Linked DNA regions of Sus scrofa. The protein of the gene in region 2 purifies or fractionates together with the protein of the main gene of each other region. This does not show direct contact. Links are inferred from orthologs where the notes say so. Each region holds a gene or a part of one and is shown on either strand. Other genes may lie near its edges. The genes, in order: ZFYVE19 and VPS4A.

Evidence for each region.
Region 1: the proteins of VPS4A (region 2) and ZFYVE19 purify together in Homo sapiens (affinity purification with mass spectrometry; 3 studies listed by BioGRID and IntAct, counting the BioPlex papers as one, with this or other methods). This does not show direct contact. The link is inferred for Sus scrofa from reciprocal best matches to the Homo sapiens genes VPS4A and ZFYVE19.

What each region holds. Positions count from the first base shown.
Region 1 is NC_010443.5:130,509,924-130,512,597, forward strand, and holds the end of ZFYVE19 (abscission/NoCut checkpoint regulator), read right to left. Parts: coding exon 2,613-2,674; intron 2,198-2,612; coding exon 2,118-2,197; intron 1,805-2,117; coding exon 1,706-1,804; intron 1,601-1,705; coding exon 1,473-1,600; intron 1,392-1,472; coding exon 1,313-1,391; 3' UTR 795-1,312; downstream 1-794. UniProt on the Homo sapiens protein: Key regulator of abscission step in cytokinesis: part of the cytokinesis checkpoint, a process required to delay abscission to prevent both premature resolution of intercellular chromosome bridges and accumulation of DNA damage.
Region 2 is NC_010448.4:17,662,745-17,666,555, forward strand, and holds part of VPS4A (vacuolar protein sorting-associated protein 4A), read right to left. Parts: intron 2,591-3,811; coding exon 2,479-2,590; coding exon of another isoform or gene 2,380-2,478; coding exon 2,232-2,379; intron 666-2,231; coding exon 604-665; intron 508-603; coding exon 388-507; intron 1-387. UniProt on the Homo sapiens protein: Involved in late steps of the endosomal multivesicular bodies (MVB) pathway. Recognizes membrane-associated ESCRT-III assemblies and catalyzes their disassembly, possibly in combination with membrane fission.

The DNA.
Region 1 (2,674 bases), on a different chromosome or scaffold from region 2:
TCAGGCTGAGAACTATTTCTTTTTTTTTCTTTTTCTTTTTCTTTTTTTTTTTTTTTTTTTTTTGCTTTTTAGGACCACACCCATAGCACATGGACGTTCCCAGGCTAGGGGTCATCAAAGCAGAGCTACAGCTGCTGGCCTACACCACAGCCATAGCAACGCCAGATCTGAGCCGAGTCTGCAACCTACACTATAGCTCACAGTAACAGTATGTCCTTAACCCACTGAGTGAGGCCAGGGATCCAACCCGCACCCTTGTAGACCTTAGTGGGGTTCATTACCACTAAGGGAACTCTCCTGAGGACTCTTTCTTGAGCCAGCTCCAAGCCAGAGGCAGCAAGAGAAAAAGCAGGGGTCGGGGGGGCTAAGCAGAGGGCCTGAGAATCATTGGTGGAAAAACACTCTGGGTTTGCATGGCCGGGAGGGTGGGACAGGACCCCTGGGAGGTGGTGTTCTTGGGAGTAAGGCAGGAGGCAGCGGATGCATCCACTGTTACTGCATGCAGTGTTGGAGTACTAGAGAAGCTGAGAAACCCAAGATGGTGGTGCCCCGGGGGCTAAGCTGGGCTGCCTCGAGCAGGATGCAGTTCAGTTCAATTGATGAATTTTGATGCCTACTGCCTGTGAGGCCACCAGGATGGGTGGGACTCTTCTTGCCTCAGGAAGCTTGCAGGATGGCTTAACCTTTTCCCTCACTTCACAGGACTGGACTTGTAGCCTACTATTCTTGCCATCTCTCCTCGGGCCCAGGCTCAGGGCCTGTATGGTTCAGTTCTACAGATAAAAGACACCGGGTCCAAGGAATCAACATACTTTATTAGATCCCCTAAGTGCCAGCAGAGAGCCCTGGGCCCTTGAGCAAGTTTTAGGGCTCCTCCTTAGATTCAGCTTGGTCTCCTCCCAGCATGCCTCTCACTCCCAGTCCAGATGTCAATGCGGGAAAGCTCCCAACTTCTTGCTTTCCTCTGGCTTCTCTAGTCACTGTTAAATGGAGAGTCCTTCCTCTTTCAAGGGACACAGAGGCTCAGGAAAGGACACATTCACAAGCAGTCTAGCTCTTTTTTTTTTTTTTTTTTTTTTTTTTTTGGCTGCATTCTTGGCATGCGGAAGTTCCAGGACCAGGGATCAAACCCACAGCACAGTAGTGACCCAAGCCACAGCAGTGAAAACACTGGATCCTTCACCTGCTGAGCCACCAGGGAACTCCCGGTAAGCAGTCTAGCCTGATGTGCTCTCCCATCAGATGCGCTGGTGGGTGCCCCGGCCTGTGTGACTGCCTGTAGGATGGCCTTCCCGGGAGGACCAGGGTTCCCTCAGTGCTCTCGCCCTTTGTGCAAGGGGTGGTAGGCAGATGTCTGGTGCTCTTTAAGTTCAAAAGCATCGTGGCCTTCCCTGTGGAGCAGAGATACAGGTCAGGGGTCAAAGGAGGCCTTGGAACATTCCTGGCCCCACAGGAATTCCACCTGTACCTACCGGAAGCAGCGAACACAATAGAGGTCTCCATCACAGCCAGCACAGCGCAGCGTGGCATCCTCATTACAGATACAGCACCAGGGGAGCTCCTCTTCCTCAGCCTCAGGCCTGGGGGCCATGGCCTGGGCCTTTGGGACCAGAGAGGAATGGAGGATGTAAGGTACCTGATGGGGTCCGGGGAGGGGAAGCTGTGATGGTGGCCTGGGGGGGTTTGTGTCTGGAGCTTTTCTCACCTTAGGCTCTACCCTGCTGGATTGGGCTTGGGGTTGGAGATTTGGCTCTGCAGGGATGTTAAAGCCACTTGCCTCATCCAGGGCAGCTTCTTCAGTGAGCTGTGGACAGAGTGAAGAGGTACAGCTCCCTGCTCAGGCATGCCCCCAACACCCAGTATTTTTGTGTTCTGTGGCTTAGCTCTCAGCCCACCTTCCTTCATCTGCTGCCTATGGCTGCTGACACTCCACCTCAAGGGGCTAGGGGGGGCGGGGCTGGGTCAGAGGGGCAGAGCAGTCCCAGCTAGAACAGGCACTGCAGAGTGACTGCCCATTGAACCCCAGAGAAGAGGCGGGGTGAATGGGGCCAGGTGGGTGCTGGAGCAGTGGGGCAGGAACAGGACGAGGGTGGTCAGGGGGATAAGGTGGGGCCAACCTGCCGCAGGACTCTCTGGATGGCTGTCTCCTCATCCTCTTCATCATCACTGTCCGGAAGGTGATAGTCCTGGAGGGTCACTTGAAGAGGGTGAGACGGGAGCAGGGGAGGAGGAATGAGGCTGAGAGCTCACCTGAGTGGCTGTGCTCCTGCCCCCAGTAATCTGGTTTCCAGTGGCATCTGTTCCAGAGCTGAGTAGCCTCTGCAGTCACTCTGGTCAGACCCTGTGCCACACTGCCAGGCTGGGGATCTGCACCTGAAGGGACCCAGGGTCCCCTGCCCCCTGATAGCTGCCACTTGTTCCTCATCCACTGCATCGCCTCAGCACCTTCTTCATGGCTCTGGACAAAGCTCGACAGACTCCTGAGCACAGGGCCCCCCAGCCCCTGACCCAGTCTGGCAGGGAGTACAGCAGCCACTGGGCAGAGCTTGGCCTGGGGGTGGGAGTTGAGGGCCTGCCCACTGGACAAGAGTGAGCCACTCCCCAGCCTCTACCTTTATCTGGGTCCTCTCCTCGAAGCACAGCCAGGCGCTTGGCAAGGGCCAAGATCCGCTCC
Region 2 (3,811 bases):
CTGGAGAGCTGACGACCACGACGAGCGGGCCCTGGGCCCTCTCCTGCTAAAGACAAAGGGAGCCAAGCCGCCACCTGCCACATGGACACCTTCAGAATAGGGAGCCCTCAAGAGCCTGATATTTTTATTTTTTACATCTGGACCTTAAGTGGCTCAACATGAAGTTCCCATTCTGGCTCAGTGGTAACAAACCACTAGTATCCATGAGGGCCCAGGTTTGATCCCTGGCCTCGCTCAGTGGGTTAAGGATCAGGCATTGCCGTGAGCTGTGGCACAGGCCAGCAGCTACAGCTCTGATTTGACCCCTAGCCTGGGAACTTCCATATGCCTCGGGTGGGGCCCTAAAAAATAAAAAAATAATAATAAAAAAAGTGGCTCAATGCTTACCTGTGAACAAATGTGGAAATTTAATTGGCAAGATGACAGCTTCTTTGAGGGCCTCTTTGGCGCCCTCCAGCCCGGCCACATCATTCCACCGAATGTTGGGCTTCTCCACCACGACGGCACCTGCAAGATGGAAACAGAGCCTTCACCTCAGAGCTCGACCCACCAGGGGTCCTCGCCACGTCCCCCTCCCCCTGCCACAGGCCTCAAGCCTCTTACCCATCAGCTGTTCTTGCAATTTCTTTTTCTCTGGATTATCCCCTTCGCTGTCACTATCACTGCTGGGAAAGGAGACAGAAGATGAGAGGCTGGAGCAAGAGGCAGCTGGCAAGGAGGCTCTCAGAGCAGAGTGAGGCCAGGCTCTGGCTGCCCGCACGGTGCTAAAGAGACACTTTCCCTGCTCAGCAGTGCTGAGAGCCACGCACAGGCACCTGGAGGATGCCAGGCCACGCATCACAGCACTCACTCTGGATTCTCCAGGAGGTGCTCTCATCACCTGCTTCACTTCCTCATGAAGGGAGTAAAATGAGAGGCCTTCTCCTCCCTAGAGGGCTGGTGAGGGCCCTGTGCTTTGGCTGGACTTCGAGAGCAGCAGGCAAGCACTTGGAGCTGTTATTGGCCTTTTGCAGGGATTCAAACCAGGACAGCAGTGGCTGTGCCTCCAGGCCAATCCCTATCCGACCCGAGCAACGTGCCTTCCTTAACTCCCCTGCCCGCCTGCAGAGGCCTGCCCCTGCCCTTCCCCACTGTGTCTCCCGCTCTGGGGAATCGAAACACAGGCATGTCCTCTCTACCCAGGTGCAGAGCCTCCCACCCCTGGGGAGAGAGCTGACACACCACCTTCTCTCTCCTTCTGCACCACCCTCCTGCTGGGCACCCTCCCCTGGACCCCAGAAGCCTTTGTGTTCAAACTACAGATGTGAGGTGACAGGCTGTGGAGGGAACACTGGCTTTGGAATTAGAAACAGAGCCTCAGGGGAGTTCCCATTGTGGCGCGGCGGATCCGACTAGGAACCACGAGGTTGTGGGTTCGATCCCCGGCTGTGATCCAGGGTTGCCGTGAGCTGTGGTGTAGGTGGCAGATGCGGCTCGGATCCCGAGTTGCTGTGGTTCTGGTGTAGGCCGGTGGGCTACAGCTCCGCTTCGACCCCTAGCCTGGGAACCTCCATATGCTGTGGGAGCGGCCCTAGAAATGGCAAAAAGACAAAAAAATAAATAAATAAATAAATAAATAAAGATACTTCCCAGGATGTTTTTAAAAAAAAAAAAAAAGGAAAAAAAGAAACAGAGCCCCAGGTGTGGGTCCAAACTCCGTCAAGTACTAGCTGTGTGCGACCTTGGCCATCCCTGAACCTTTCCGAGTCTGTTGCCCCATGTGTCAGATGAAGACGATAACTGCAATGACAGCAGTTGCTGCGCGCCAAGCTCTCTTCTCAGGGCTCTACCCACATCATCTCACTTGTTCCTTAGAGCAACACCAGGAGGGAAGTCTTATTACCTTCCTCCTCCTACAGATGAGGGTCATGGCACTTGTCCAAGGTCACATGGCTGGGAAGTGGTGGAGCCGGGTTAGACCCCGAGAGTCTGGCCGCAGAGTCCAAGGCTGGCTCCCCACCTTGCCCAGAGTGTTTCCACACAGATCCAATGAGAGAGTGTACACGGAGCAGCCTGGGAAGCGCTTGATGAAAGCAGCTACACGCATCATCATTATTATGAGAAGTCCCCCAAAGGAAGATGCTGCGGACGTCCACGACAGCATCGGTACCAAGATGATAGCTACACAGGAAAGAGACAGCTGCCCATCGGGGCTCTGGTCCCGACGGGGCCCTCCACTCCTCCGTACTCACCCCTTGCTCTCACTCTGATTCTCTTTGACTGGCTTCTTGCCATGCTTCTCTTTGTTTCGTAAATAATCCTTCAGCTTCTCTGCCCGGTCTAGGTACTGCATGCACTTGGCTCGAATGCTCTCCTTGGCCTTGTCGTTGTGTGCCTCATCTGCAAAAGGGGAACTAGGTAAGGGCCGGTGAGCCCCTGAGGGCCCGCCCTCCTCTTGCAGGGGCTCTGCAGCCAGGGAGGACCCCCCATGAGACTCACATTTGATAGCGTGTAAGAAATACTCCACGGCATGCTGGTAGAGCCGGAGCGCCTCCTCGTAATTCTTGGCTTTATCCTCTTCTGTGGCTTTTGTCACCAAATCAATGGCTTTCTGCAAAGGCAAAACATAGAAGCCAGTGCTTACCAAGAGATCCAGCAATTCCTTGGGTTCCAGAGAGCAGGAAAACACTGTAAGAGATACTGCCAGGGCTGCCTGGGGATTTGTCAGTCACAGACCATTATGTTGGCTACTTTTCCAACATCAACTAGAAAGGCCTTAAAAGGAACCTGTAAAAGAGAGCCATCCCTCTTCGCAATACGCTCATGTAGTGAAAACCAACCTCTCTCTCAGTCAAGTGGAAGCCTCGTCAAACATCTCAGATTTAAGGCTTGAAGGGAGAATTCACTTTCTATTTCATGGTTTCAGAGGAAAGAGAAATAGACCTGGACTGGGCCTGAAACACGGGAAACACCAGAACCAATTGACTGCCATGCTGTTCTATACGGAGGCTAGAAACCACCCCTGACCTCGAGGGCCAGAGAAGAGCCAGCAAGCCAGCCAGCAAAGTCCTTCTTCGGTCCAAGAGTTTTATGAGATGAACTTAAACGGATCTCTCCTTCTTGCCACTGGTCCAACTTGTTTCTCTAGGCTGAAAAGAGAAGACAGTTCCCTCAAGCTGATACTTAGAGAAGGGATGCTTGGACCCGTGGTTCAGTACACCGGTAGCTCCAGGAAGAAAAGTGCATGCTTACTCCAGAAGCATAAACGTGCGGCCACTGGAGGGGACCAGTCCTCTGGAACCTCCTAAGCACTCTGCATATCTCTGTGAACCTCATAAATCCTGTAGCCCTGTGCTCTGGACTGAACTTAAAGCAGGCTGGATCTTTCAGGCAGCTGCCCCACACCTACATAACCAGTTTTAGAAACCACGGCTTCACCAACCCGGGAAGCATGACCAGAATTATCCTCCTCAAGCTGATACAGCACTAGACACCAGGCAGGCAGATCCCCCGGTATCCACACAGTTCCGTCGGCAACGAACAATAAGCCTCCTGACCAGCTCTTGGCAGGACCCGGGCATTTATGGGCCTTTTCTCATCTGACAGTAGTAAGTCTCAGAAAGACACACGGAGCTCTACAGAACAAACAGCCTGGGGTAGGTCAGGCTAGCGTGATGTTAAATGAACTCGCCAGGTTGAACAGATGAGGAAAGGTGATAGGTAGCTACTCTATTCAGGCTTTAGCTCCACCCCAACGACCAACAGAGAATGGCTAAAAGGCCTGAACTTTCCCAGATGATCAGCTTAAGCACAAGCTTCACCTGAACACTCT